4 linked regions of the Struthio camelus genome follow. The protein of the gene in region 1 interacts with the protein of each later gene in a pairwise test. Links are inferred from orthologs where the notes say so. Each region holds a gene or a part of one and is shown on either strand. Other genes may lie near its edges.

Region 1 (7,975 bases):
AAACTAAATCAACATGGCTCAAAACACATACCTTCACATTTGTAATTTGCAACAGCATGCAAGATCAAATCTTGGCATGTGTAAGTCAAAAGGAAAATGCCTGGTATTTGCCTCGACATATAAAACATGAATATAGAGCATAGCAAGGTCTAGGTCTGAAAGTAAGAGAGCATCTTTCCAAGGCAGGCGCAACATTACTAATTCAAAAACCAAACTATTCACCCACACCCGTCATATCATGTTCCACCATAATTATCTGGCACTATCAGGACAGAATGCCTGCACACAGTCACAACACGACTGACACATCAAATTTAAAAACAAACAAACAAAAACCTAAAAACTTCAACTTCACTCTTCTGCCCTAGTACAACTGCTTCCTATTATAGTCACAAATGCCTCCAAATAGAGCAATGACCTTGACAAGGCCACTTACCTCTATGGTGTCCAAGACTTCTTCTGCAACTTAGAATTTCCTTAAATGTCCAAGTAACTGTTTTACTGCAGTTTTGCACATTTAATCACCTCTTTGAGGAATAAATGCCACAGACCTAAGAGAGCACTATTTGCACTCATGACCAAGTTTCACAGGGAACAGAGAAACCCTGAGTCACTGAACACTCCCAATGCAAACCGATAGAGAACAACAAACCTGGGGTACGTGTGGGTGAGGACAGCTCTCCTCGTCACTAGTAGGAAGGAAGGGTATGTTTTAATGGGAAAAGACATAACCGAAAGCCTAACTCTAGTAATGTATTTTCTCTTGCGTCAACTTGTTCATCCTTTATGCCATGTCTGGCACAATTTGGGCCAAACTCACACTGGAAGGCATTGTCTGTTCAAGTTTGGTTATGCTTATACAAAATAAAACAGGCCTAGCTAAGCTTAGAGAGAATAATACCCCTCCCCCTCCCAAAAAAAGTAACCTTCACGAAATTCCTGGAAAAGTATTTACAGACAAATATTGCAGGCATTCGATCTACTAACTATTTTATGCAATCTCTGCAAAAGCAACTATTTAAATTGTGACTGTGAGAGAAAAGCCCATGACAGCAAAGTGAAAGCATACTTGTAACTAACTTCATCACAGGCGAGCATAAATTAGCATTTCCTCTGGCACACTGCGTAAGGGGTCTTCTCAAACCCTGTCCTGTGGGCCACCTGACGTGCATAGACCAGACCATGCCAGCTCTCACAACTTTCAACCACTTCCCTGAGCAGCAAGACCCTTCACCACAAAGAAGAGAACGGTGGCGAACCATACGCCCAGCTATCTGTCTTCTACCGGAGCTGGACAATGAAAAGACACCTCCTTATGGGACCAAGCCACCTACAAAATAGGCACAGGAAGTATAAAGAGAGCAGCAGTGATTCCTGTTTACAGCCAGGCAAACCACATAGCTTACTCTGCCGCATGCTTTACATACACGCACACAGAGGTAAGTCCTTCTGCACTCAGAAATTGCTCTGAGGATGGGGTGTAGTCAAAAGCAGACTGCTGCCATCAAAGCTGTCCTGGCTGCCCCCTTCCCCAGCAGCAGCACGGGGACAGCCAGGGAGCATAGTTCACTGCATTTAAGTGGACAGCCAGAAAAACAAGTGTCCCCTCATAACACATGTCACATGACAGAGAGATTGCCGCACGGTCCCAACGAAGATGAGATTTGGGAGTGAGTCACTTAGTCTGAAATTCGTTCTCCGCTTGTAGAACGGAGCACAGCCAGGAATAAGTCCCGAGCTGGACAAACTGCATGTATGTCGGGCAATTTTGCCTTAACGCATCGGAATTCTGCAGTCTCACTTGAACGCTTGCCCCAAAACTGCACCGCTGGGCTCTGAGACGATGCGTGCCCAGCTCGGCTGAATCGTTCTCAAAACGTTCTTCCTTCCCTGTTCAGACACTCGATAATCCGAACCAGGCTTGCCACTCTTGAGACACCTTTGCAGGCTCAGAGATAACTTTCAAGAGGTGTAACAAGAGGAAGCAAAACGCGATAGCGTAGTCAGAAAAAGCGTTTCCTTTCAACGAGTGCAAAGAGGGCGGCCAGCCATGAATTATGAACTGCCTGCGCGGAATTAAGTAGCGGGCAGCTTCCAGTGAACTGACAGGCACGGATTAAGAGTTTTATAACACAACTACCTTCCGGGAAAGAACCTACTAGTAGAAAAGATATTTCAAACCAAACGTCGTCCCAGCCATTTTCCCCTCCACGCTAAAGCAAAACTGCCTTTTAAACAAGTTCCCTCCCCCAAAGGCCACTGCTCGCGGGCAGCCAAAGTTCACGCCACGCAAACCGCGGCCTCTCTCCCGCTGAGGAAACACCTCGACGCCCGGGAGGCGGCGGCGGCCACCCCGCCGCGGGGGAGGCACGCGCGCGCAGACAGAAATAGCCCCGCGGGGGCCCCGCCGCCGCCCCGGCCCGGCCCGGCCCGGCGGAGGCGGCCGGAATCCCAGCGCGGTTTCCTCGGCCACCGCCGGGCGCGGGCGGCGCCCCCCACCCCCCCATCGCCTCAGACGGCGGCGGCGGCGCCCCGGGGAGGGGGAGCGCGGGGGGCGGGGGGGGGGGAACGGCTCGCGCAGGGCGGCGGCCGCGCGGGCAGGGCCGGGCCGCCGAGCGACTGGCACGCGCTGTCGCCAATGGGAGGCGGCGGGGGCTCCGCCGCCGGCCAATGGCGGGGAGGGAGGGGCGGGACCTGCCCCGTTGTCAATTTGCAGCCAATCGGCGGAGGGGTGCGGGGCAGCGGCCCCCGGGACCCCGCTGCCCTGCTCGGTACGGCCCGGCCCGGCCCGCCCGCCCGCCGGCCCCCTCCCGCCGCCGCCGCCGTGAGGCGCCGCGGCCCCTCTGATCCCCGCGCCGCCCCCGGCGCGCCGGCACGGCACGGCACGGCACGGCACGGCGCGCTGCCGAGCCGCCGCCCCACGCCGCCGCCGCCGCGGCCTCACTCACCCGGGCGCATCCCCTGTCACAGCCGCAGCATCCCCGCCGGCTCCCAAACCTGCCTCATCCGGGCACCGCGGGGGGCGGGGCCGCCGCTGTGACGCGACAGAGGGAACGGGGCCCCGCCCCTCAGAGCGGGGCGTGGGGAGGGGCTAAGGCAGGCCGCGCCCGCGGGAGGGCGGGGCCGGCGCTGGCACCCACGTGGGGCGGTGCCGGGACGCCTGGGCCCCTGCGCGGTGCCAGGCCGGGGGGAGGGGAGGCTCTGGGCGCGGGGCCTGGCAGGGCTCGTCCCCCCCCCCCCGGGCTGCCCGCGGGCCGTGGCCCCTCCGTGGCCCCCCCAGAGGCCCGGGCTGCCCCGTCGGGTGGGTTTGCGGGGGCCGGAGCCCGTCCCGGGGCTCCGCGGCAGCGCGGCCTCGCTGCGCGGGGCGACGTTTGCCACCCGAGTGGGATGGAGGCGGATGTGGGGCCCACGGGGACGCGTCCGCGCTGCCGGGAAGGGCTGAGAGCCGGTGGCCGCCGTGGGGTTTTGCGGCGGGCTTCCTCAGGGAAACCGCGGCGAGGCGGCAGGGGTCGGCGGAGCTGCTCGGCGGGGCTGGCCAGCCCCCGGGCCGAGAGCCCTCGGCCCTTGCCGCCGCGCGGGCCCGCGGGCCTGCGTCGCTCGAGCGCTCGCTTTACCTGAGCGGCCGACTTCGCTGCGACGTCTCGCAGCTTTTTTCTTTGTTTGACTTAATTTTATCTTTAGCTTATTTTGATGATGTAGCTGAGAGAGAGAGAGAGAGAAAGAGGCCTTAGCAGAAGAAAAAGCACCAGGGATGACTCCAGCGCACCCGTAAGGCCGGACTCAAGGCCCCGCTCCGTCGCCCTGCTGCTGGAGCACCGAGGTCCAGCCGCTTTTCCCCCCCTCCCCCAGCCCTGCTGTTACTTCTGCTGCTATCAGACAGACGAGCAGGTGATGCCTGCGGGGTTTTTTTGCAGAAAGGAAGCTGGTAGCGGGTAAGACAGGAGAGGGAGGCCCTAGGGGGAAGACCGAGTTGTTGTCGGGCTGCAGAGGGCGATGGCGTGGGGTCCGCGCGGGGTACGGCCTCCCCTCGGGCCTGACGCCTCTCCGGACTTGCGGCTGCGCGGTGAAGGTGCAGGAGGAAGAACCGCTGCCTGCGTTTCTGCTGCTTGGGGTGGACGGAGCTGAACGGCTTTGCCGCGAGCTGGCGGCTCAGCCACGCTACGAAAGCACAAGCGGAGGACGGGAAGCGGTGCTGGAGACGGGCTGCAAAGCTGAAGTCCTTTGCTTACGCCTCTCTGATCCGGCGACAGCCCCGCAGTCAGGTGTGCGAGCAGGCGAGGGCCGGCGGCGCGCCGAAGCGCTGGGATCCCAGCGGGCGTGGGGCTGAATTGCAGCGTGGGTTGCAGTCCCTTGCGACCGTGCCCTGCGGCACGGGCTTGGGCTGGGGGTGCGCGGGTGACGGCGAGCCGGATGTGCTCTAAGGAGATGCCTTTTTCAGTGGAAACCACCGGCCTGTCCAAATGAGAAGCACGTTCTTCCCAACAAAACTTTCACTGGGGAAGTATCTCGGTGCCGGCGCGCAGTGGCTGCTCAGGATGAGGGACGAAGCGACTCCGTGGACCAGGATAATCACTGTTTCCAGAGGGAGGGGGACATCCCGGACAGGCCTAAACCCATGTCCAAATCGAGCTCTACGTGAGCACGTTCATGATGGAGCTGTTCCAGGGCCGCTTCTTGGGAGGGAGGTTCTGGGTGTGTTCTGATCTCTTGATTCTTGAGACTCAAAGTATCAACTTTGGCAAGAAAGCCGTTTTCGACCCATCCAGCTGGCTCTCCATAGCTCCGAAGCTGCTGCGTTCCCGTTCTCCCTGGCTACATCTGCGCTAGTAAATTAAACAGGCCCAGGCCTGCTCTCTGGGAGGACCCCTGGCAGCGTGGTGTGTGTCCACCCAGCTCAACTCGCTGCCTCCCTAGCAGGGGGATTTGCCTATGTGTCTTATGGACATCTGTATCCCCGAGACCGTGCTGTCCCCCAAACTTTGCCAGCATCAGGGATAGTGATGGAGGCACAGGCTGCAGGCATGCTGACAGTTACCTAGTGTGAGATGAGTCTGTTGGGACTCAGCTCGTGCCCAGGCCCCGGAGGTCCTAATTTTGTTAAGGCCCCCCTGCAGATTCAAAAGCTGGCTTCTGCCCTGGGTGGGCTCTGGGATGCATTTGGGCACAGAAAATCAGCCATAGCATCCCCACCGCAGCTCCTCCAGTGTTCCGGGCAGAGATCGAGCCCTGCCAGCGTGTGGAGGAAGGCTTGAAGTCAGCCTGGCCGCTGCCCTAACAAAGTCAGCACTGATTTCATCACGGTCCTGGACCGTACGGAGGCACGTGTGGAATTTTCTATATTTAGACTGAGAAATTGCCATCGGTCAGAGCGGAGAAGCACTGCCTTTCCCTGCAGCCATGCTTCCTGCGCTCAGCAAGAGAAGGACACGGAGAGGTCAGAGCCAACACCGGCCTCCGACCCATCACAGCGGAGCAAACGGGCCCTGTTTCACCTCACCAGAGCCTCCTCTCATGTTCTCCATCCCTGCTGAGCTCTCCCCAAAATGCCCGTTCACTTCGCTCCCCATCCCAAGGGGCTGGGTCACAAGCGTGTTGGTCCTCGTTTGGATTGAGAGCCCCAGCCAGTTGCTGATGGGGTCCTTGTGCCCTGCGCTGGGAGCCTTGGTCCCCAGGGAGGATCTTGGGGGGATCCCATCTCCTCCTTGGAAATGCAGAAGGTCCTTCAGCATCGGTAGGGGGTCCTGGACCCCCATCAGTATTGGTGCATGGGAACTGGACCGTGACTCCCTGAGGTGCCAAATTGCTCCCCTTGACAATTCCCATTCCCACCTCTTCCTGCTGGCCTTCCCTGGGGATGGGACAACATGCCGCGCGTCCCACCCTTCTCCCTTCCTCCCATTGTGCTGTTTCCTATCTCTGATGCCTTGTTTGGGATCGGTTACCATGATATCTCCCAAGTCTATGTCCTCAGATCCCCTCGGTGAGGCAGGCAATAGGGCACTGAGACCGTGGCCAACGCACTAAGCGACTTGGGCACCGAATGCCCATGGATGTGTATGAATTGGGCACCTAAGTTCCTTTAAAGGGTACACCTGAGGGGCAGGAACACCGCATACCCAGACGAGTGGTAGAGAAGGGATTGGACTCTGTTACCACAGGGTTGCTCCAGCCACTGGGCCATCCTTCCTTTTCACCCATAGCCTTGCAGTCGCTACGTTATCCTCGCGGCGTTGCTGTGTTTCTGTCCTGTAAGAGCCCCTAGAGCGGGGAAAGTCACTGTATAGGGAGGCTTTTTTAACTGTTTAAGTAACCTGCTGGCCCCAAGCCAAGTTTGGGGCAGCTGTCAGCCTCTGAGATGGACTATCACTGCTCATCCCGTCCTCCGTATTTCCTGGTGGCTCCTTCTCCAGCAGTACCTGCCAAATGTGTTCCACGGTGTTTGCAACACGTGCCCCACGGTGTTTGCAAAATGTGCCCCGTGGTGCCTGCCAAATATCCCCCATGGTGCCCGCCAAATTTGCCCCACGGTACCCACCAAACATGCCCCATGGTGCCTGCCGAACAGCCCTCTGGAGGCCACAGCTTCAAGGGCACGGGCGGAAAGAGGGCAGGGTGCCCTCCGCGGTGGCTCCTGCACAGGAGCTGCCTGGCAGCTGGACTCCCAGCTCCTTTGCATGAACCTGATACTTAGGTTTCCTTTGCATATTAAATTTGCTTCCCCCTGTAATTAGCCAGACGGCCTGTCATTAGCCATGGACGGTGCTTTCGAAAGGCCCCACGTGCCACCCTCGCTGAGGGCCATGCCTGCATGCTGCCGGCAGCGTGGGGAAGCTGCGTTTGAACCTGTGGCCATGCCGCACTGCCAGCTGTGTGACAGCCCGCGTCCTCTGCGGGCACTACGCCTCTGAGACCATCCTCTGTATAGTGTTTCCTGATAACCTTTTCTCTGCCCGTGTCCCACTAGCCATAAGCTATGGGTTGTCCAGGGCTGATGGTCCCATACTCTTCTCCAGGGAAAAAAAATCCACTTTTTACCATGGAGGATGGGGATGGGCGTTTTTATACGCGCCGAGGACAGAGTGCAAGTACAGCTGCCTCCCAGGTCCCGCGGTTCAGTGAGCACCATGAATCACCCGTGACTCCTGTACAGGACTTTTTGGGTCACCTTGTGTGCTCCGGCTATTGCACAAGCTCAGGAACGCTGCTCAGCAACTTCTGCACTGAGCCCAGGATATGCGGTAGGACCAGAGCGTGGCTCGGAGCCTCGCGCTGCCCCTGAATGAAAGAGTGGAGGTGAAGCCACAGCATCCCGGGGGAAGCTGTCCCGGTGGTTAATTCCAGGCAGGATCTCTGCTTGGACTCACACCTCTGGGAAACCCCCAGGCCGGGGGCTAAGCGCATGGTTTGGGGCTGTGGCTGGGGAAATCCGCTTGTCTCCTTTGCCCTGCTTTAGCCTTGGTTTGCAACCCCCCGCCAAGGTCCTTGGCCCCGGTGGAGGGGTTGACCAGGGGGCTGAGCAGTGGCGGGAGGCCTGGCTGGAAGAACGATCCTCTTTCCCGGCTTTCCAGGCACCGTGTTGCTCTGATCGAGGGGTAGCTACAGCCGGCTGGGTGCTGTACACGTGCACAGTCCAGCTCTGAAGCAATTCTGAAGCAATCCAGCCTTTCTCGCTGCCTTGTAAAAGCTGTAAGGGAAATGACTCATGCTGTCTGCGTCGCGTTGTGCCTTGTCCGCGTGCATCCCGCGCACTCTTGGCACAGCGCTTTCCGTCACTTGTCTGATTACAAAACGGCCCTGCGAGGTAGAAAGGAGGCAGAATATGATTGTCCGCTAGGAAATCACTGCAAAGTTGCCGGCACCGAATAACCACCTATTGCAGCAGTGCCTGAGTATTATTCCCACAACGGTGTACGGAGAGCAGGGTTGAGCTCTCTCAGGGGAGACGAGGTAATGAGAGGGGTCCCGGCACATCTGT
Region 2 (7,915 bases), on another chromosome or scaffold:
ACGATGGTTTTGCACAGCGAGAAGTGAAAGAATAACTCCCCGTTGCTTTCCGAGGGTCTTGCGCAAGGAGCCGTTGCCCTGCCGGCCCCTCGCGTCGCCCGGTCCCCGGCTGGCCTGCGCCACGCCAAGCAGAGCTTCCTCGCCGGCAATAGCAACTATTATTTCTCGGTTCCTCCTTCCAGCTCTGATTTCCCAATCCATCGGAAGACGACCACGCTATCAATTCCTGAGTAACGCTTACAGCGCAACGGGCCGTTTTCATTGAAAAGGGGAAAATGGAGCGTGGGGAGGGGGTGGGATTTTATGCAAAGGCTGCTCGGCTCGGTTTAAAGGCTGTAAATTCTCCTCCCGGTCCCTTTTTGGCCCCTGCTGTGATTCGACCGCACCAGCAGCCCGGCGGGAGGCGTCACCCACGGTCGCAGGCCGCAGGCGGCGGCGAGGACGGACCACGGCGCATCCCGCCCAGCAGAGCTGCCCGTTGCCCACGCCGTTCCCAAATTACGTTTTTCTCCAGGCGTTGCGGGTCACTAAGCCGCGGGACGAGGGCGGCTCCACGCCGGGAGGGCCCCGGATGAACGCGACCAGAGCGACCGCCTTGCCCCGCCGCGTGACGTCCCGCGCCGGAGCCGCCGTCCCCCACGCGAAGCCCCGGGGTGCTTCTGCGCCGTCCCGGCGGGCAGCGAGCGGCTCGACCCCGTCGCGGGAACCGCCTGCTCCCGGGCAAACCCAGCCTTTCTGCTGGGCCAACGCTGGAGGAGTTTTATTAGAAAAGCAGCCAGGAAAAGGGCGCTTGGGATTAATCCACCCCGAGCCCCAAAGCCAAGTGAGAAGCTGCAAACTCAGCTTGGCGCTCGGCCGGGCCCCGCGCCTCCACGCTGGCTCTTTAGACTGAATTACCCGCAGAATTAACAATAATTGGAAAGGCTCAGATTACCCCGGAGGACGGGATGGAAGCGGGCGAGCACGGGGAGCGAAAGCGCTTCGTCAGACTAACGAGCCGGCGGAGGCTGGCGGCCTCCTTCCCCGCGACGGCCCGAGCGGGCGAGCGCCGCCAAGCGCGGTGGCACCGGCGGTGGCTCCCGGGGCCGGGGCCGGGCCGCCGGCGGCCGCCGGCTTTGCGCGCTGCCGCCTACGGGAACCTCAGCGTTAGCAAGGCAGGGCTGCGAAGGGGCCGAGCGGCATCTCGTTGGCCCTCCGGCCCCGAAGCGGCGCCAGCTCGAGCCGCCCTGCTCCTGACGCCCGACTCGGCGCACCCGCGTTGCACCTCGGGGACGGAGGCGCTGCTCGCCGCGGGGTTACGGCCTCCGGCTCCCGGTTCCTACGCGCTTTTTTCGTGGCAAAACCGCCAGAATTGGGTCCCTACAGGCAGCCGGGGCTCTGACCTCTGCCGAAATCCAGGGATCTAGGCGCCGGAGCCCGCTGGAGGAGGAGGAGGGCTTTTAAAGTGAGTCACATTAACCCTCCCGAAACCAGCGGCCGCAAAAGAAGCCTCTCCGGACCTTGAGCCAAGCCATTCCCAGGGCTGGGCCGGGTTTAGCGAAGGCTCAGCTGCAGAAGCTGGGGGGGTTCAGCTGAGACCGTCTCCAACCAGCAGAAAGCCTAGATACCGCTCTCCTGAACGCTCCCGGACGAGACGAGGATTTCTTTTCCATTGCTTAACCCTTCCTGAATTTCTCAGACAAGCCCTTTCTGCCATCCGTGCCTCCGCTCACGCTCTCTCTCGCGCTCTCCCTCGGCACCGGAGTTTCTCCGAACACTGTTGCAACACAGCGCAACCGTTCAATCGCTTTTTGTCCCTTCCCAAGGTGGTGGCTTCCTCTCGCCTCGACCTTTCCCAAAAGCCCATCTAGGAATGCAGAGGTCGGCCCTGCTCGCGTGGCTCCTTCGCGGGGAGGGAAGGGGGAAAAGCTGGGGGCAAGCGGGGAGGAGGCGAGCCAACGGCGCCCTCCCCTATTGCCATTTGCAAATCTGGTTCGCATTTGCTAAACGTACGCGAATAAAACAGGCCAAGGGGTTTACGTTTGTTATTGGTCAGGCCAAAGTAGCCAGTTTCGATCTCTTGTGTTTTTGTTCTTTTTTTTTTTTTTTTAATTTTCATTTGCTCCGCAAGGCCAAATTAATTAAAGGAAGCAACAAAACCGGTGGCTCGCTGCTGCCAATAGACATATCCCGGGTTAGAAAACGTTTCGCAGGGCTATTCCGGGGCCATCCTGAGGAGCCTCAGGCGTGTGGCACACGGTGTCTTGAGAGTTTTTTGGGGGCAAAAAAAAAAAAAAAAGGTAAAAAAGAACCGATTGACTGGCTTGTGAAAAGTTAGGAAGAAAGGAAGTGTGCAGCTACCTACTGGGGCCGCGGTCCGAGCAGCGAGGCGCGGGCCGGAGGGGAGCAAGGAGCCCGCTGGAAACCTCTTAATAAACCACTTCAGATTTCACCGCCCCCCCCCCCCCACCCCCGGTTTAAAAAACACCCCCGCGGGCGGCCGCCGCCGAGACAAAAGGGCCAGAGGCGGGTGCCGGGGGCGCGCCGGGCCCCGCTGCCGCCCGCTGCCGCCCCCGGCGCGGCGCCGCCTCCCCCTCGGGGCCGCGGCGGCGTTTCCGTCTGGCTCCGGCTGCCCAGACGGCTGCGTGGCCGCCGGCCCGGCGGCGCGGGGAGCCGAAAGGCGACGAAATTAAATGCAAACTCCCCCCCCCCCAAAAAAAAAAAAACCGAAAAAAAACAACCCACAAATCCGAAGCGAACGCAACGAAACCGACCCGAACTGGGCGAGCCCGAAGCGGGTCTCGCCGCCTTCCCCCCCCCCACCCCGCCCCGTCCCAAAATGAGCGGCCGAGGGGGGAGGGGGGGGTCGGACAAAGAGCCCCGCGGTCCCACCTGGCTGCGCAGCGCCGAGCACCAGCGGCAGGCCGAGCAGGCAGAGGCAGGCGCGCAGGAGCCGCGGCCCCGCGGAGCCGCCGCGCCTCATGCCCGGCGCTGCCGCGCTCCGCTCCGCGCCGCTCCGCGCCGCCGCCGCGCTTCGCTGCCCGCCGGCTCGCGGGGGACGGCGGAGGGGCGGGCAGGGAGGCGGGGGGGGGGAAGGAGGGAGAGGAGGAGGAGGGACACCACCACCACCACCACCAAAAAAAAAAAAAAAAAAAGTTAAAAAAATAAAAAAAAAAATAGCGCGCGTGTGTGTGTGTGTTGGGAGCCAGGGCCGGCCTCAGACACTGCGTCAGCGGGAGCCGGAGGGAGGCTTCGCTCGGGAGCCGGAGCGGCACGTTTCGGGATGCCGCCTCCGGGCACGTTTCGTAAAATCCTTCGAGGACTTTCAGAGGGCAGCCGGGGCTGACGGCCCCGTTTGGGAGCCCCTCGCGCCCCCACCGCGACGCTGGCGCTGGCCCCCGCCGGGCAGCCTGCAAGGGCTCCGCTCGGGGCGCCGGCAGCTGCCGCCAAGACGAAGCGAAGAGGCAGAAAGCCCCTCGCTGCCCTTTGCTCTTCTCCTCGGCGCTGCCAAAAATCACCCCAAGCGCCGAGGCCGAGCGGCCGCTCTGCCAAAAAGCCAAGTACCTGTTGCACAGGGAACGCCGGGGCAGCTATTGGATTCACCGCGGCCGTAATGCTGCCGAGCCCAAACTGGATCCTCGTCCGCTCCAGGCACGTGGCACGGGGCCGGGCAGCTCCGGTGTCGCCTGCGCGGTCGCCGGACACCCGCACGCCTTTCCGCACACGGGGTCCGCCGTGCAGGACACGGGCGGGACGATGCTTCGCATCAGGCCAAGACGATGGCGCCGTTCCTGCCGAAGGGGAAGCGCAGCTGGGTCCCGAGATGGCATGCTGCAGAGGGAGCGCTCGGGAGAAAGCCGCTTTGTGTTTGGCCGTTCTGTTCGCCTTGCGAAAATAACCGAATCCGTTGTTTCCCGGCAAAAGATGAAGGCCCTCTAGGCTGGTGCCAGGACAGTCTTTGGAGAGGCGAGCTCTCCGGGGGGGGCCCAATTAAGCACATCATCATTTGCACTGTTGGATTTTTTAAGCCACGGATTATTTTTTAATTGAACCAGTGCCTGGAGAAACAGCCTCACTCGTACTGGCAGCCGGGATCTGCTCCACAGCTGGGCCGACGTGTCCACGGGGAGCAGGCGCGGGAGGAGAGAGAATCACCCCTCTCCTCCGTCCCATCCCTAAACCGCGGGAGTTGGGATGGCGACGGCTGTCCTGACTTCCTTGGCTGGCTGCAGTCCTGATGCACAAACCACCAAGGGCCCCATGAGACCTGCTCAACCATGCTAGCGTCATTAAAACTTTTTTTTTTTTTTTAAATTAAAAATGTGCCACCTGAGGAGCTAGGAGGAGGCTGGCCGAGCTGCCAGTGCTCATGGCACGCTGTCACCACGGGCTGGCAGGATGGTCTCTGCACGCCTGCTGCGATGCCCCGTTTTGGGTCTCACCGCTAGAGGAACCTGCTGTCCTTGTCCTGGAGGCAAATCCCTTCCCAGGAGGAGACACGGTAGAGCTGAAGGGCTTCAGCTCCTGCGGCGCATCCCCATTGCCTGGCCTCGCCAGCGTCCCGTCCATCCCATTACTTGGAGGTGCTGGGTCTATGTGTGATTAGAAGATAAGTAACATACCCTAATTAAGTGCTCCAGAGCAGGCCGCTAGCTCCTCGCTTACTCTCCTCCTTGTCTGGTTTAGTACCAGTTGAGTTGTCACTCAGTGGAGTGCAGCTGGAGGAAATACATTTTTTCCATCCCTCGGGACTTCTCCAAAGCTCTGTCTGACCTTTTTGTCGGCAATGAGTTTCTGCCAGACGCAGGGAATTGGCCGCTCGCAAAAGGACACGGACTTTCAGCCGCAGGCCATGCTCTTGGGAGCTCTCTCTTCACACCACCGTTAGAGGCGAGGGGTTGGATCCCAGGACAGATCTCTGCCAGATCCCTGCCACTAAATCGCCTTTGGCTGAAGGCCTCCTCCCTATTTGTGAATGCTGGCAGAGAACGGGTCAATCTGGGCTATTCAGCTTCCCACGCGTAGATCGGAAAGTAAATGTTGTTAATAAGCAGTGAGACTCAAGTAGATCAGGATGGGAAAACCAACACATTTCATCACCCAGTAATTACTGGCTCCGCAGAAGGGGAGGCTGGTTTTTAGCCTTAGTTTTGTTAAATAACAAGGACGTTATGATTTTAAAAACTCACCTCAGATGAAACGGCCACATGTGGAATTAGTCTGGAGTACACCGAAGGATGAACAAACACTAGATTTGTGGCTGAGGTGCTCACCTTCAGAGATGCACCCTCAGAGCTGGTTATTGAATTCAGTTGGACCGACAAGGGCCAGGGTCCGGATATGGCATATACTTGGCATTTGCTCTTGTCAAAGGTGTTAGAGGACAGGATTCAGGCATCCGTGGACCCGTGAGACCAGCTTCAGCAGCACCAGGCTTTAGACAAGATATTCTGATGGAGGAAGTTACCAAAGACACAGAGAAAACACAACGTGACATGGATTTATTGAGAGGTAAACCATGGCAGATGCCTACTCTGGAACAAGGGAAATAAAGCAGATCAAGATAGATGGTCTTCAGCAGAGCATTTGATTATTGCCACTTGGGAAATCATCAATTAGACTGAAAAAGATGGGGAAAGAAACAAGCAGAAGCAGAAGGGCAGAAATGGGTTGTGAGACTGACCATCAGACTAGAGAGCGGTCACGAGGGGTTTCCTCCAGGACAAGTCTTGAATGACTAATGCTGAAAGGTGGCACCACTTAGCCACTGGCTAAGGAGACCGCAGTGGCTCCTAGCCCCGGTTGAGACCGTGACCTCACGTAGAGGTGTGTGACATGGCAAATCCACTGCTATCCACATGCATATCAAAACCCATCTATTGTCCCTCCTCTTCCTTCTCAACATAATGCTTCATTTCTACGAGCTAGTTTTTATCTCTAGCACGAGCTTACAGACCAAAGCCAATAAATACATAACCAGGGTGGGGGAACTCCAGCACTGCCCTGACCCACGCTGGTGAAGCAAAGAGGGTGAATTTATTGCTTTGAAACTCTTTGTTAGGTTTGAAGGTGTGTAAGAGGGGTCATTCCTGCGTATCCTGCTAGATCTCAGCGGTTCCTAAGGCAAAGGCCTTGGAGACATCATTTGGAGGCATCTCCCCACTCCGGAGAGCTGCGGGCCCTATGGCAGCAGCAGTCCTCGAGAGCAAAGCCTTGCCCGGAGAGACCAGGCTCGAGGTCTCCTGCCCATTGCCATGGGCTTTGCTTCAGCTCGACCATCTCAGCCTCCATTTCCCAGGCTGTTGAAGGATGTCCTTCCGTCTCGTGGGGACGGTGTTTGACGCAGGCGCTGCTGGGTCCCACTGGCACCTGCCGGGCTCGGCCCTGAGCTCGGCACTCCGTTCACGCCGCCTCGGCCTCATCCTGGCCCCCGAACAGAGCCGGCCAGGCCAAGATCAACACCCACCTGGCAGGCGATGCTGTGCTGAGGTCACTGCTCCGAGAGGAGAACGGCTCGGAGGCGGCCGGCTCTCCTCTCCCCCACGCCGGGAGCTGGAACGGGGCACGGCCACGTCGCTCTCCGCCAGGCAGAAGCGCCCGGCCGGGGAGCAGAGGTGGGTGGCCAAGCCCAGGAGGGCCACGGCAGCCCGGGCTGCTCCTCTCCTTGCTCCACGGGTGCCTCCCTGCAGCTTTTTCCAAGAGCGTCGGCCCCTGCCAGGCTCGCTCGCTCCAGCCCTGCCGGAAGAGGGCTGGCGGCACCGGCCATTGCACCGGATCGGGAGACGCGTTTGGGCAGCACCATGGGCCTTCGGCCTCAAAGGGGCAAAAATAAGCTACTAGTATATAGTGCTGGAGTCACGCACGAGCACATAGCGGCCGGAGCGACGGAGCAGCCAGCTGGAAAGCGAGAGGGGCGTTTTCCCGGGGAACGTGCTGCTGCAGGACACCAGGCGGCAGGGACAGAAACGCACGTGAAAAGGAAAACGATGCAAAGGGAATCTTTTGGGTTTGCTTCCTCCTGGAAAGTCCACAAACCCTTGAGCTTTTGTGCTGAGGCCGGTCTCAAACAACCGCCTGGTGGGGTGGGGAAGGTGCAGCAGAATCGGGACCACCGGTGCGCCACGGCCCCCCCACCCCGGCCAGCACCCTGCTCCACTCGCTCCTTCAAGTAGCTGCTCCAGGCCACCACGTAGAGGCTGCAAAAGCCTACGTCTGCCCCCGTCGGGGTGCCAATGCCACCGCGGAGGGGGCTCCCCCCAGCTCCAGCTGGCAGCCAGGAGCCGGCGGCCCTGTGTCCCTGCACCGGGGGGCATCCTTGGTGGCCCGAGGGCTTATGGCCATCCGCTCAGAGGGACCAAGGTGGCCCGAGCTGGCTCCGGGTGCCAGACACGGGTCGGGGGGTGGAGAGGAGCGAGGTGAGAGGTTTAGCAGGGAGCAGCTGAGATGCAGCCTTTCTCCTTCCCTCACCCCCCCTTTTAAACACGTAACTGGAAAATCCTGATGTGGCTTTTACAAGCCACGGGGAAGCGCTGTGCTTGGGCTCGGCCTCTCCCCGGCGCTCGGGCGATGCCGACGGTGCCGCGGTGCTTGCTTAGTCCAGCCTCCGCCAGGCTCCGCGCTGGGAGGAAGAGCTCGGCGCCAGCGGCCGAGGCCCCGGCGCGCCGTGGGGCGTCGAGGAAGCGTGCTCATTTTCGGGGGGCTGGCGCATCCCAGCCCTCGCGCAGCCCTTTCCCGGCTGCTCCAGCGTCGCACCCCGGAGCGAACGTCTCGGCTGCACGGGCATTTGCTCCCCGCGCTCGCGCCTGGTCGCCAAGACCGGACCAGACACCCAAGCCAGCCCCAGCTCTACTCAACACCCGTCTGCGGGTAAAGCAGCCCACGGCGTCGCCTGAAGAGGGTCCCTTCGCGGCAGCCGAGAGCGCGCCCCGGCTCCCGG
Region 3 (7,658 bases), on another chromosome or scaffold:
TCAGTAAAACACATCTTTAACATGATTTACAAAAGGAAATAGAGTTGAAGTACCGCACGTGTTAACGTTTTAGTGAAAAATTTTCTGTCTAAAACACACTTCTGAATCTCCAGCTCTAATGACACATCATTTGAGTAAAGAGAATCCAGAATATTCAGTTCTCCCACGACACTTAGCTTAGCTTGTGCCGTGTGTGTCACGAGCCATTAGGGCTAATTAGGCTAAATGCATAGCAGTCCCTTTGCTTTAGGGAATAAATTCAGAAATAATTTGCAATTTAAGGGTTATTCCAGATCTATAACCTGTTCAACCACCACATAAAAGTAAAACCTTATCAGCTATTTTCCTCTGGCTAAGTCGAGACCTTTCTCACAGCGTGAACCTTGCCGACATTAACCATACTTCTGCTTCAGTCAAAGCCATTAAAATGTATTCTACAGAAGACTAAGCGCTCATGAAAACCCCAACAACTATTACAGTGGAAAAGCCATCTCACTGAGAACTTGTGACATCAGTTTCCCCCAGGACCTGTGGCAAGCACCCCTGAGAGAAGACTGTCTCGCTCCACGTGCTACAGGATACTGTCAACCGAACTGTTCCAGATGGATCTTTCCTCTAGCACAGAGGGATAATAGCTAGCAAGAAAGGCCTAGAACTCTGCAAATCAAGTACTTTTGATTAGAATATCTTCAAAAAATATACCCACTTGATAGAAGTTCAGAAGTGAGCTGGAGTATGTTTCCCAGAGGTACCAAGAAATACAAAGATCTACACTGACTAGCTAAATTTCATCTTCTGAATAATTATTTTAATGCTATCGGGATTTTTTTGTAACATAAACGTGTTCAGGTACCCAGAGACTTATATAAGCTTTTTTATTGCTTCAGCTGAAACAAAATGCAGAACTTTAAACCTAATTATCAAAACCCCCATTAGTATTTTTATCTTCTTAGTATCCCTGTTGGCAAGGAATTCAGCCCTGCCTGGAAGCTTCTAACTAAGATGGCGCTGCTGTTTACACTTTCAAATAGTGGCAAGAAGAGAGCAACACAACCCTCGCTGCAATGGTTGTGTTTTATTCTCTCTTGCCAATTTCCACAGAAACAAACTTTCTAACAGCTTTATATGTCTGATTTTCATGTGAAGACTGATGGCATGACGGCTTTTCATCCAGAGAGCCTGTACCAACTCTTCTTTGCAAATGGTTTATTCCAAACAGCAAATCCATCCCAACCCATGATCAGGTCCAAGAGTAATAGGTTTTACTCCAGAAAGCATTTACACAAACAGTTCCATTAAACTGAATTACTCACTAGCATAATACTGCATGTTAGTTTGGATCATTATTATTCACATTATTATGCGTTCATATATATTATTAATTCCTTAGATTCAGAAACAAAAGGTGTTATAAGAGACAAAAAATATCAAATACAGAGATCTTCTAAACTATTTAAAATAGTTTTATGATTAGAAGACTATACTTAGCAGTTTTTCAACCCAAATAATTAAGATCTCTATAACGGAAAGTATGTGAGTAAAATCTAAATTTTGATTTTAAAAGCATTTTGACTATCTCAGGTTGCATATTTACATAGATTTTTGGTTAATATTTAGGTAGCTGGTCACTATTAATGTTCTATTTTTTAGGCATTCACCTCTACAGCTTTTAGGTATTCAATCAAAATGGGCTCAAAGAATTTAGAGTTATGAGATCTCTTCTACACTTCAGGAAGTAGCTGCCAAATTTCAGTCAGCATCAACAAAAAAAAATCTGAATATTTATTGTCTCACACTAAACGTTCAACTGTCCCAGCAAAATACATTTTTAACATTTCAGGCAATACTTACAACAGCTTTCAGTTCCACAAAAAAACAACAAAAATTAATCCAACTTCATATTGCTTTTAATACATTGGTTAAAAAAAATTTTTTGTTCTGCGCCAATACCAGGCTCAAGGACCACATACAGGAATAAGCCTTCTAAGGATCTGAAGCATCTATCCTACACTTTCAACAAAGACCTTAAAGAACCGATAAACATCTTATTACAAAGATGAACCAGATCTCCAATCCTTACCTTAATTTGTTGTCTGGCCTGGACACTAATGATCTGCTGCAGCACAAAGTTCCCATTCACTTTTTCTTTCTTTAACTGAAGATGAACAGCTCGGTTTCCTCCGGCTCAGAGTTAAAGGGTGAAGTTGTCTATGTTTCATTGTGTATCAGAGTACAATCGACAGAACATGATGTTTCAGCAGGCTCTGGATGAGAAAGGCAAATTCTCAGCGTCACTGAAGAGAAAACAGCATAACACACGTAACACTTTCTTCCTGCTATACGCAATATCTGAATAGATTTAGCTGAAATAGATGCTCTATTGCCTTTTTTTTTTTTTTAGACCGTTGGCTGTGAACACCCACGTACTTGGTGCCTTGGCACCTTCCCCTTTGGGGGGGGATGGGGGAGACACAAGGGGATCTCTGCAACCAGGGCCTTCAGCTTCCTGGTATACCTGCAGGCACTCTTCAGCAAACAGAAGAAAATCAGAATACGGGCAAACCGACAGAGCCACCCAAAGACAGGCCCGCCCTCCCCCCCGCCCTTGACCGCCGGGCAGCGCAGCCCGCCGAGGCCGGGGGCTAGCCGGGCACGCGGCCAGCCTCGCCCGCCCCGCCGAAAGGTCGAGGCAGCGCCCGGCGGGAGGCCGCCGCCGCCCCCGGCCCGGCCGCCGCCCCCCGCGCGGCAGCGCAGACCCGCGGCCTCAGCGCCGCCGATGCCGCAGCATCCTCCGCCCGCCCCAGGCGGCGACCCGCCGACGCGAGGGAGGGCGGCGAGGGGACGCCGGACCCCCCCGGCCGCCCGGCGAAGGGAAGGGGCGCGAGGGGGTGGCGGAGGCCGCCGCACTCACCGCCGCGCCGCGCCGCGCCGCGCCGGGCCGGAGCAGTGCCCTCCCCTGGCGGGGCCGCGCCGCTCTGCGCCCCCAGGTACCGGCCGCCCAACCGCCCCGCCCCGCCCCGCCCCTCCCCGCCCGCGGTGGGAGGGGCGCGCGCCCGCGGCCGCGCATGCTCCGGCGCCCGCGGCGGCGGCGGCGGCGGCAGCGCCGGGCTCCCTCCCCTGCCCCCGGCCGCGCCCCTCGCCTCACCCTGACGTCACAGCGCCGGCCGCGCAGGCGCGCCGGGCGGCCTGGCGGGGCGGTGGTTGCGCGCACGCCCGTTGGGCCGCGCCCCGCCCAGCCGCGCGTCGGCCGTTAGGCGCCGCGCGCTGCCCTCCCAACGGTTTTTCCCGCCGGCGGGAGGGGGCAGCCGGTGCTCTGCGGGCAGACGCAGGCAGTGTCCGCCTAGCTGGGGCCCTGTGCCTGCCAGCTGGGTGCAGGGAGGCTCCGGCGTGCTCACATCGCCGTAGCCCCGGCCCCCCCCTTCGCTCGCCCCTTGCCCCTGAAGCTTTGTCCTCGTTTGACATGGCGGAGGGCAGCGCCGGGGCTCTGCTATCATGTCACCTCGCCCGCCTGCTCAGCTGCCCGCCGGGCTGCCCAAACTGTCCTGCCCTTGGCGCTTGGGTTCACGCTGGGCTCGTGAGACACAGGCAGAGCCGATGTCTGTGGGTGCAGCACCACCGCCCGCGTCTATCAGTCTGCCCCAACAATTCGGGGACCCGGAGACCAATTTGAAAAAAAAGTAGTAGTTAGGCCTACAAGTGTCCTAGCGCTGGGACTACGGACCATGCACAACGGAAAGAGACCTTGCAAATGTCCCAACTACATGAAAAGCGTAGGACTTGTGCCACAAATCACAAAGCACTGACAATATCAGAAACTTCTGCAAACTTCAGAAAGTTATTTGCCCAGAGTCACTTGAAATTACTTCTTTTATCAGGGTCACTTAACTGAGTTAATGTTTATACCCCAATGCTTTGCCTAGGCATCTGCGTGCTTATGCCTAGGGCCTGCGTTTCAGCACCTCGCGTGCTTGGGGCTGTTCAGATGTGCATTGTTTTCACATGCCAGCATCTGTATTTCTGTGCATCCACTTAAGATTTGAGTATCATTTTTCTCAGTGTTTTCAGAGTTTCCACTGCCAATATTTTCTAAATTTTAGCATGCCTGCTACATCAGAACTCCCAGAGGAAAAAGGTCATGCAATAGCTTCAAGCAGTGCTCTTGCAGAAGAAGAAAAGCCCTGTAATGGATAAGCATCATTTGCCGCAGTCTCTTGACTAGGATTTGGGCAGGCTGCCCAAGGGTGTAAGAACTGCTTACAGATGTCAGCCCAAGCACTGCCTCCGCACCTTTTGAGACACGTGATGTGAAGGCTACAGTACATCTGCCCCATGGATAGCACAAAAGACCTATTTTTAAATAAGGAACAACAATGAAGCTCTGACATGTCTTTTTGCCTGAAACTGAATATTCCAGTCACATTTATTCTTAGAACAATGTGGAAGTATAATTATTCCCCTGTGGTACAGGAAGAAAAAAATAATAAGTGGGGAGAGATTAAATCTCTTGCGCAAAGCTAAAGAGATAGCAAAGCCAGGAAATGCACTCAGATTTCCTGAGTCAGGCGTTGCTGCTTTAACCACAGTCATCCTTTATTTGAGTCATCCCCAACTTCTGAGCGCTAATGTAAACATCAACTGCATTAGCATAGATTTGATTTTTCCCTACTTTGTTGAATAGAATGGCTTCACTGTTACCACTGAAATTTCCTGCAACTTTCCTTCTTCTCCACCTCCTTCTAAAACCAAAAGAAATCCTATTACAGACTCACTGGGAGATTCTTACATTTCCCACTGCCTTTCTGCAGTCACTGCAGTTCAGCAGTCTTCAACTGCTGAGTTTTCATAGTACATCTCTTAGCTAGGTACCCACATGCATAGTGAAACAGATCAACGAACAAAGTGTTCCTGCTCGTATTTTTCAGCTAGATCAGAGAACTGCATGAACACTTGTACCAATACGACAGAGGCACGTAAGCTATGTGTACTGGCCTAGAAGTGGTGGTATAACCCTCCTTTTTAACTCCAGCTCATATTTGTACTATCTAAAATGATCATGATACCAAACTCTAAAAGAAAACAATACCCCCCCTCCAAAAAAAAAGCTCTAGAGAGATCTTAGGGCAGATCCGAGAGCCTCCTCCATCTGTTTATACATTTAACAAATTGCTACAATGCTTCTATAGCCTCATGATTAAGCAGATCCAGTCTTTGAGCAAAATCCACATCCTTTTTTGAATAGCTTCAAAAAGCAGAGCCCACATACCCAAATTCCAGCTTCTGGCTTCTTAACCAGAAACATGGTCTTAACTATGCTACTGAATGATGCTACAGATTAAGATCTAGCTGAGGTTCAGCGTAGTGTCTTCTCTTCCCAGTTTAATATCTGATATATCCCCAGCTTGAGGACTTTATATTCAATTGGTTTTATACTAAATTGATTTAAATGGACTTTATATTGCATTGAGAGATGGACTAGAAGCTTGTTTCATCCGCTTCCCTCACTGACCTAGAACTAGTGGCGCCTCCAAAAATGGAAGACACGGCAACGGATACCAACAAACGCCCCGAGCAGAGTACAAGAGTGTGATGAGCAGACGGTGATATTTACACAAATACTCTTCCAACCTCCCATAGTTGGCAGACCAGGGACTTTAACAGCCAAAGACGTATCTTTCGCACAGATTTGTTCAGGTATGAGCAACTTCAGTGCAGGGAGCAACATGGAGGCCTAGTTTTCCTAGTAATAGTTGAGCAGGTATTTTCAGAGTATCCTGCTGTAACCTTGCTAGCTTCCTCAGTTTTACCCGACTTGCTGATAGATAAAGACAATGAGATAGCAGTAAACAACCAGCTGTTCGATATGACCTTTACTGATTATTATAAAGAAGAATACTTCCAGCCAGTAGCTATATCACAGGCTGGCTTGAAGGGAAACTCCTGTTCCTTTAAATTTGGTCTGGTTTCCATTTCATATATTTCTGCAGACTAGAAGTGCATGTTTCCCTCACTCCAGTGGAAAATGAAAGAAGGGTTGTTCAAATTTGTCCTCGTAGCCTTGTTCCCTTCTCTTTACAAAACCCGAATTTGATGTTTCCCAACCCTTGCATTACAATGAAGCTGAGATAGTCTGTTTCAGTGAAAGCTATCCTCTCAGCCAGGACAATCTCCTTCCTCTTACCACTTCAGAAAAATCATTTTTGCCAAGCACCTCACACAAAACAGACTTTTTAGATAGCTGATACGCTGTGACCACACTTCTTACTATGCTCTTCATAATCATGTCCTTTTTACCTTGTTCACCCACTTCCTTTTACTGCAGCCACCTTCTACTTATACTCTGATTCTATAAAATCTGATGCTTGGACCGTATTTTATCTGTTTGCATTGTTTCCAATTCAAAAGGGCTAGGCAGCTAGGTGCCACAGTTTTCTTCCACATATAAGTAATCACTTAGTAATGGCTGGCATTTTATTTTTACAAAAAATGAAACACTGCAATATGGACTCTTGCTATCCAGGAAAAGTTCAAAAAAAGGAAAACAGATTAGAATTATGGAGCTTATTTTTCTTGTGTTATAGCTGAATTTTTCAGGAAATATGACCGAGCACATAGAGCTAGATGGTTATGGGCTTAAATTCTTCACTTCAAAGCGTCTTAACTCATTCTGTAAAATTTGTTCATTGGCAGGCATCAGTTTCTGAGAACATTCGTTGTCCCCTTTAACATTATGAAGTTAATAGATAAATGCTGACCCTATTTCCTTGAAAAGGTATTGAAAATAATTTTTCACTCATTTATTACTAAGTATTATCTTAGCAATAGGAAATTGAATTTTGTTTGTCCGGCTAATAAAGCCATTTGCATTGTTTTCCTTATAGAGATGAAATACCTTTGCTACCTGGAGGTATTCTTCTAGAAACAAATCTGTTCTCTTAATTTGCGTCTCTACAAGTAGTGCTTTTATTAATGAGTGAATCCTTTATATTTTCCAAGTTGCAAATTGACACCAGAGATCTGCTGTCTGTAGAATTACTTATTGCCTTTTCAATCTCTTATGCTTTTGTAAGCTATACAAATAACTTCACTTTTGTAATACTGTAAAAATATGTACTAAAGCAAGTATTAAAAGCTGATGAGCTTGTTTTCTGAGATTAAGTACAAGAAAAACAGTGGGCTAATGTCACATACAAAAATAATTACAGGTCATAAGTGGTCATATAATTACTGTGGTCATAAGTGTACATATTTATTATTTCCAAGCACAGTATCTGCAGGTAGCTAAACTTTGTACCATTATGCAATAAATAGTTGTATAAGAACAAAATGACTGATAGGAAATTCTGCTTGGTGCAAGCTGTCATCTTGACAGTGGTTTACGATCAGCGTACCTTCCTCTGCGTACATGTGGGAAAACGCAGAGATGAGCTCAAACTTGTTCTGCTGAAATATATAACCCCATCATTTTTAAGACTAAGTCCCGTATTTTTCCTGGTTACTTGAAAAGGAATCCAGTTTATAGAGATGAAGTCCTTGAGCATTTGTGATACTTTTAGACATTAGTGGTATTTACCACTTTCTAAATACATGCGTAGAATATATGTAAAGGAAGAACTGTTTATTACCAGTTGCACAGCCAGTTTGTTTTTTAAATGATTGGC
Region 4 (7,416 bases), on another chromosome or scaffold:
ATATATCTGGCTGTGAAAGTTAAGAGTAGTCCCAATCCTACATTTCCCTAGGGACACTTAACTGAATTCCAATACCAACCACACAGGTGAAAATCCACCCATTTCTGAAAAGTTATTCCTAGTTCTCATCAGCACAAGCTCAAGAACAGGCCCTCCTTCACTACCTCGTGTTAATTCATTTGGTTTGGTTTTCCACACACAGATTAGAGACCTACTATCATAATTGGTATTACCAATAGCAGGCCCCTACGCCTGCACGTTTGGGTGCTAGTGTGGGAGCTGTGGCGCCATCCTCAGCATTAGCCTCCACGGCTGCTCCCAGAGAGCAGCCTATCGATCCTCAAGGCTCCACGCAAAGCCCATCTGCTCGCTAAAAGCCTCCGAGTGAGATGTGAGTTGTTCGGACTCCATTTTTTTTCACTGGGAATAACAAAGCACAAGTTTATGCTTTTCCGTGCGGCAGCTACAAACTCGGAAAGAGTTTAGGTGGTTTAGTGTGCACTTGCACTACAGAAACAGCTAACATTTCAGCCACATAGATTCATTTTTATTTGCTGTGCTGTTCAATATACAAAAGCATGTAAGCAGCAATGGTGATATTTTAGAAACCCAGAATACAAGTCAAGACAGAAGGAATAAGAGAGTATCTGGATGCTAAAAAGTTTATTCAGGTCTCTGCAGCTATTATAGACTAGACCCAGTCTCATACTCCTTTCTCAGGCAGGCCTGCCACTGATTCCTGAGGAAAAGCGGGCTGGAAGTGTCAGCTGCATTTGCTGAACATCTTAGCTACAGTTTCTCTCTTAAGCACCACATCAGCTGTTCTGTCCATTAAAACCAATAGCAGCTTCAGGCAGTCACAACATGAGCATGCAACTCCCAGACACAAACAGGGCACACAAGAACCACAGAAGCCACCTCACACCAATAAATACATTGCAATTTCATAGGAGTCAAGCCTGCTATCACTCCTTTTTCCCTATTTCTCAGTGATATTTGCCTGGTAATTACAACTCACAAAAATAAAGATGAATTATTAACAGATTTTTTTTTTTCATGTCAGCATTTTGTGCCCGGAAAGGTATGTAATGGTGCAGAAACAAGAATTTTGCAGTCATCTTCAATGAAGCTTTTTAAAGTAGATTTGACAGCCATCAGGTATGGACTTAACGTAGTTACTCTTGCCTCAGTGTAAGGATGTGGCCTAGACATCCCTTCCAGGCCTATGTTTCTATGACTGTGTTTCCCTTAGAAGCAGAAATAAAGACTTTCTGGAAACTCCTGGTTAAATGCATGGGGCAGGTAACAAGTGTATTTGTGATTCTGTAGGTACAGTTTCTGGTGAAGACAGAATGCAAAGAGTGTCTAATCATACGATTCTTTGTGCTCTGTCCTTATTTAGGAATACTTTTTTCTCAGAAGTGACACAGACCTCACTCTCTCCAAGTTCAGTTCTGCCAACCTGCTTACACTGAGAAGGCAGTGTCACTGGAAAACGATTCAGCTTTGGGGGAAATAGGGAAAAGATAGGAATTGGGGAGGAACCTTAATTAAGAGAGTGTGTTCAAAAGGAAAACTGGTGATTTTTTTTTCTTCTACAAATTTTCAGGAGCCCACAAATAATGATACTGCTGAAACTTGGGAAATCTGCTTGTAAACAGGTAGGCAATCAACATACAAATATTCCTCGGTTTAATGGATTATGGATTACAAGATCTACACAGCCGATCCCTATTACAGTTATTCTCTAGATCAAAGGGTTTTCACATAAATGGGGTGTAGTCTACCATAGCGCGGAGCCACAGAGCTGCTGCAGGCCTGCAGGAATGAACTTCTTTAAAGTTTCAGTGATTACATAATTGTTTTTTGTAATTGGAGCTCCAAGCACTCCGCACAGCAAACCATCAGGTAGGAGAAAAACAGCTGAAAAGCAGAGTCTTGACAAACAGCTGTGGCAGTTAAGTGTCATTCCTAGCCTAAAAGGGTCAATCCCCTTATGAAACAAGGAGTTAATCCTTTACAGTTTTTAATTAAAAATCTACCAAGAAACCTGTAATGCTTTCTTAAGATTCTAGCTGCAGAACAGGGGGAGAAAAATACCACAGGTCGTTTCACGTGAGATTTTCGTCCTGCGCAAAGCCGGGTTTCAGAGGGCCACCGGGCACGCCACACCTTCACGAACAGGTAGCGCAGCCCTGGCGCGCACCCACCGCCCACAGGATTTAACTAACCGCTGCGCGGGTAACGAAGGCCCCGCTCCACGCAGCCTAACCGCACTTCTGCTCCACCTGAGCACCCGCTCAGCGCGGAGCCCCGAAACGCTCGGCGGGTCCCCCCGGGCGGGAGCCGGGCTGCCCCGAAAGGCCGCGTCCCGCCGGGCCAGCGGGGTCCGGCCGCCCGGGGCCGTGCCCTAGCGGGGGTGAGGGTGGGCAGCTGGCTCCGCTCCCCTAAAAAGCGTCCCGCGCCCGAGCCCGCCCGCTCCCGCCCTCCGCGGGCGCGGATGCCCCCTCTCTCCGCGCGGCTTTTGTGCCTCCCCGGCGCAAGGCGAGGGGGCGGCGGCGCTGCCAGCCCTCCCTGCCTCCCGTCGGCGATCGCCCCGTCGCTGCGCCGCCCGCGGAAGGCAGCCCCGCGGCGGCGCATCCTCCCGGCCGCCGCGGGCAAGGGGCGCCCCCCGGCAGCCGCGCCGGGGGGGCGGGCGGGCGGGCGGACAGACAAAGCGAGGCCGGCGGGGACACCCTCCTCCCTCCCCCCCCCCCAAACCCCGCCGCCGCTTTCTCGCCCGGTGCCAGGGCGAGCTCCGCATCCCGCGGCGGAGCCCTCCGCGGCCGCCGCGCCGCGCCCCCGCCGCTGCCGTACCTGTGCGGAAGAAGGCATCCACCTCGGAGTCGGGGACAGCGCCGTCCTCCGCTGCCCCTTCGGCGGGATTCATGGCTGGGGGAGAGGCGGCGGCGAGGCCGGCGGCTGCTAATATCCAGTGAGTTAGGGAGGAGGAGAGCCGAGAGAGAGAGAAAAAAAAGAGGGAGGGAGCGAAGGAGGGAGGGAGGGAGAAAGGGAGGGAGGGAGGGATGGATGGAGGCGCTTTTAGCGGCGAGCCCAGCCGAGCGCCTCCCGACTCATCCCTCCGGCGGAGCTTGCGGGGCGGCTGCCCCGGGGCTGGGCTGCGGCTGCCGGCCGGCTGCGCTGCGGCTGCCGAGCCCCGCCGCCGCCGCCGGCTCCGCGCCTGCCGCCTCCCCTCCCCTCCCTCCGCCGCTATTGTTCCCACCGCCCGGCTCCCCCCGCCGCCGCCGCCGCCCCGCTGCCGACAATGCCCCTCGCCGCCGTGACGGCCCGGCCCGGCCCCGCCGCTCCCTGCCGACCGGCGGGGGCTGGCTCAGCGCGGCCGGGACGCCCGCGGCGCAGGCTGCCCCCGCCGCCGCCTGCCCTCCGCCGCGGTTCAGCCCGCGCCGCCGGGCGGAGGCGCCCCGCGGCCGCGCACAGGTGCGGGCACGGCCGCCCCGGCGGGGCTCCCTGCTCTCCCCCCCGCTGCCATCCCCCCTCTGAGGATTAACCGCGGGGCTTAGCGGGCAGGTAGTCGGGGACTGAAAGTACAGGTCAGTGTGGCTACAAGAAAAAAAAATCCCCCATTTCTTTTTTTCTTCATGGGCTGTGGGGCATGATTGTTTTGGAAAAGATAAGTAAAATCGCATGTTAGTGCAGGTACCTTCACCTAGTCTATATTCTTCGCAGTCCTAAGGGGCTTTGGGGTAGAGAGCTTGGTTTCAAACTCCTTCTCAGGTGCTCGTCCCAGCTCACACATTGGCTCAACTGTTTAAGTGATGTTATTTCTCTGTCATCAGGCTGATATTTGTGATTTCAGACAAAAATTGCCATCTCAAGGGAGCCCTGTGAGGAATACTTGTTTGTGCTTTGTTAGTGGCTGTGTTAACTATTATTCCCTGAGCCTAGCTATCAAGATTTGAAGCACAAAGACAGACAGACAGACATTTGCCATTTGGGCACCTTCCTTTTTCATGTTCAGCTGTTTGAAGCCTCACCAGCTCCTCATTCCACTAAAGTCACAAACAGCTCTACAGCTAACAGCCTTCTTAAGGAGAAGCATTACCATTCCCCCATCCAGAACATCACCAATGTATACGGGAGTGTTTGTCACACCTCACAGTTGTCTCTGCTACCTGGACCACTAGAAAGCTAAAACAACCATCACAATACCCACATCTGCAGCTGCATCACCCCTGCATAATCCATTTGCACCATGCATGCATCTCCTTCTCTCAGGACTGGAGCCTCAACCAGCAGGTTCCCATGCCCCTGTCAGGAAAATATCCCATCATCTCTCCTTTGCCATTGGAAACACGTGATGCTTAAGGGGCTCTATAGGTGCAGGGGTGGAAGTCAGCTGGAGAAAACGCAAGGACAAAACATCTCCTGGAGCCTGGTCACCACAGGGGGACTCACTGAAGCACTTGGAAAGAGCTAAGCAGCAGTCTAGTGCACCTCAGGAAACAGTCCAAAAGAGCAGAAATCTCAGAGCCAACTGGTTGCAAGTGGCACCTTTCACATCAGATCTCAATCTGGAAGGCAGGTTAGCAGCCAAGTCTGGCAGAACCTTTCCTATTTTACCCAAGAATATTTTAGGCAGAGGAACATGAGTTTTCTACATCTGATTCCTACTCAATAATACACCAGGAATGTGAATTTTCTACATCTGAACTCCACTTAATACACCAGCCGTGGGGCAGAGAAAGCTGGATTTGGATGTGTGCCCACTGACTAGATATATTGCACTTGATAAAAGGGCTGAATCCTTCCCTGTGGAAGCTTGAGTATCCCGATGACATTGAACAAACAGGAACAGCACCGAGATCCCGGTCACATCTTGTCTGACCTTACTGTTTACTACAGGAATTGAAGAGGAATTGAAAAGCAAAGCATATGTCAGGGCTGGGGACCACAAAAATAGAAGTACACATCCAGAGGTTTAGCATTTAGTTTCCCTCTGGTTGCCTTATTGCCTCCCTTCTGATTTCTGATCTGCTGCCCATTTCCAAAGCCTAATGCCAGCTGTTTTTAACTGCAGCAGTTTATCTTTTTATGCTTACAGATAAAAAGGGTCATTTCACACCTCTCTGCAGATAACATCAACACAAAAGCCATTTCCAAGCTCCCCAGCCTCACTGGGGACATCAGCGTAGCCTTTCCTAACGCACCCAGCATCTGGGAATCAGCCCCACCTCCATCACCAGGGCATTATCACAGTACAAATACTAGGTTACAGCCATCCTTTCCAGACCCAGTCTTCCTTCTATAGTACCATTCATCCTTTCTTCCATGCTCTCTAAGTTGCTGTATGACAATGGAGAGGTGGCCTTCAGTGTTCAGGGCCTAGGCAAACCCCATCATTTCAAAACCCATCTTAAGGTCCTGTCTCCTAATATTGTCCACACACAATCTTGGTTCACTCCCCAACCCTCATTCTCCCTGACACTCTTATGTGCAGATTGATTTTAAACTGTGGGCTAAAGCCTCGGTAGCTGGGAAAACAGGGGCCTCCTAGTGAAACACTTTGCGTACACTCAGTATTTAGTACAATCTAGTCAAAACATTTCTCCTTCAGGAGCATCCTCAGAAGCCAGGCAGAAGTTGCCTGTAAGCAGGGAGGGTTTGGCATCACCCAGGAAAGGGGGTTAATGTTGTCAATGACAAGCATTTATATTCCCCTTTCCTTATGAATTCTGCAGGCTCAACCTATATCATCGATACTAGAACTCATACAGCCTACAGAGAGCATCCATGTCTGTATAGTCTGCAGTCAGACGTGCAGCATTCAAAATGCTGAGGGAAGGAGAGCAGTTTCCTTATCTGACCTACCATCCTGCTAACGACCTGGATTCTTTGCTAATAATTTAACCATAAGATACTGCTAGTTTCTGAAAACAAGCTATATTTCTTCCTCATGGGACAACTTCATAGAATAAGAAGTGGTCCCAGACCTCTCTGGTACTTCAAAACAAAAGGGAATTTCCATTTTATTAAAGGCTAAAGAGTTGGGTTTTTTTTTATCTAGGTCCATTACAAAGTTCATCAAGACATAGCCATGTATTTTGTTGTCCATCTCTGCTGCACTGGGCACAGCACGTTTATACTTCTGTGCTTGCTGCTCCACTGGCCAGGAAAGCCCTGCACTGTGTACTCACTATTTTCATGGGACAATTGCTCAAGCAATGGTCACACTCGTCACACACCTTATATAGGCACAGCCCACGGCAATGCAGGATCAAGACAACCGTATTCAGGTATCAGCAGATTTTAGTGCAACCCAGACATTAAGGGAGTTACTATTCTCATTATCTCTGCGAGTAGGATAGGGCTCTCACTAAAAATACCATTAACAACTAGGAACCATCATTTCCTCAGTTCAAGTCTCACCAACAAGTTTACAATGGTTGTTGCTCAAAGAAAAGCAGTTAAATATGAAGTGAAAAGTTTTCCACTATATAATTCACTGTTTAGATCTAATGCTGAAGGCACCTACAGTTTCCCTGCAATACAAAACACTAAAAACCCCTGTAGGATTACATAAGCCAAAGCACACTAGTTTCACTGACAGAAACCTCTTTAATCTTGTGCACGGCTCTACTTGACAAATATATCAATCAGTACCAAACAGCTGGTTCGGTACAAACAACTAGGTACGAATGCTCTTATTTGTGATGGCCCCTGAAGCTGCTCAAAGATCAGAAACTATCACACAGGCTTTTGATTCAAGGCCTCTACTACACTCAGGTTTTCCAATAAGATCGCAATAAGAAGCATCAGCAACAAAAACCATTTTTTAGTTGGATGCCACAAGCATGAGAGCTATAGGATGGGAGGAGGAGGAAGCATTTGAACAGAAGGTCAGTAAAATTCATCTCTCCAAGACAGCAAATCCTCTATAGGAAAAAGTATTTTAAGGCTCTAGGACAGTTGCAGGACTGGAAACAATACAGCACTTACAGAAAGCACTCGCAAACTGGATACCCAGCACAAAGGATCATGAGTCAAATGCTGCAAAACCCAATACATGGGCTAAGGGCTCTGACTCCAGAAGCCACAGGCACAATAAGAAAAGCCATCCTGCTGGTTCAGCAGACAAGCTTCAGCCTGCAAGGTGTCACAAAGACCATTACTTGTGCGGAAAGTCCACCCCTTCCAGTGTCACAGCGGCCTCTAAACACAGAGCATTAACAGAGAGGATCAAAGAGAAAACCTAAAGACTTATCTTCCTGCTCTGCTGTTAACAAGGCAGCCTTGGGTGCTTTTAATAAGTTATTTGCAGCTACATTCTGGGATAGGTGAGAAAAATTTTTCACACCCAGAGACCTGCTCAGACCTATATGTCTAGGTATTAGGGTTGAAATTACTAAACTCTTAAAC

The links.
Region 2: the proteins of NDEL1 (region 1) and MRC2 interact in a two-hybrid assay, tested with the Homo sapiens proteins (2 studies listed by BioGRID and IntAct). The link is inferred for Struthio camelus from reciprocal best matches to the Homo sapiens genes NDEL1 and MRC2.
Region 3: the proteins of NDEL1 (region 1) and CCSER2 interact in binary tests that used the Homo sapiens proteins (3 or more experiments, as listed by UniProt). The link is inferred for Struthio camelus from reciprocal best matches to the Homo sapiens genes NDEL1 and CCSER2.
Region 4: the proteins of NDEL1 (region 1) and KALRN interact in a two-hybrid assay, tested with the Homo sapiens proteins (2 studies listed by BioGRID and IntAct). The link is inferred for Struthio camelus from reciprocal best matches to the Homo sapiens genes NDEL1 and KALRN.

Annotation. Positions count from the first base shown.
Region 1 is NC_090960.1:13,233,688-13,241,662, forward strand, and holds the start of NDEL1 (nuclear distribution protein nudE-like 1), read right to left. Parts: upstream 3,001-7,975; 5' UTR 2,949-3,000; intron 2,482-2,948; exon of another isoform or gene 437-2,481; intron 1-436. UniProt on the Homo sapiens protein: Required for organization of the cellular microtubule array and microtubule anchoring at the centrosome. May regulate microtubule organization at least in part by targeting the microtubule severing protein KATNA1 to the centrosome.
Region 2 is NC_090966.1:3,743,066-3,750,980, reverse strand, and holds the start of MRC2 (C-type mannose receptor 2), read right to left. Parts: upstream 3,010-7,915; 5' UTR 2,963-3,009; coding exon 2,872-2,962; intron 1-2,871. UniProt on the Homo sapiens protein: May play a role as endocytotic lectin receptor displaying calcium-dependent lectin activity. Internalizes glycosylated ligands from the extracellular space for release in an endosomal compartment via clathrin-mediated endocytosis.
Region 3 is NC_090948.1:35,183,383-35,191,040, forward strand, and holds the start of CCSER2 (serine-rich coiled-coil domain-containing protein 2), read right to left. Parts: upstream 3,003-7,658; 5' UTR 2,912-3,002; intron 2,665-2,911; exon of another isoform or gene 2,428-2,664; intron 2,265-2,427; 5' UTR 2,081-2,264; intron 1-2,080. UniProt on the Homo sapiens protein: Microtubule-binding protein which might play a role in microtubule bundling.
Region 4 is NC_090947.1:34,426,495-34,433,910, reverse strand, and holds the start of KALRN (kalirin), read right to left. Parts: upstream 3,013-7,416; 5' UTR 2,930-3,012; coding exon 2,857-2,929; intron 1-2,856. UniProt on the Homo sapiens protein: Promotes the exchange of GDP by GTP. Activates specific Rho GTPase family members, thereby inducing various signaling mechanisms that regulate neuronal shape, growth, and plasticity, through their effects on the actin cytoskeleton.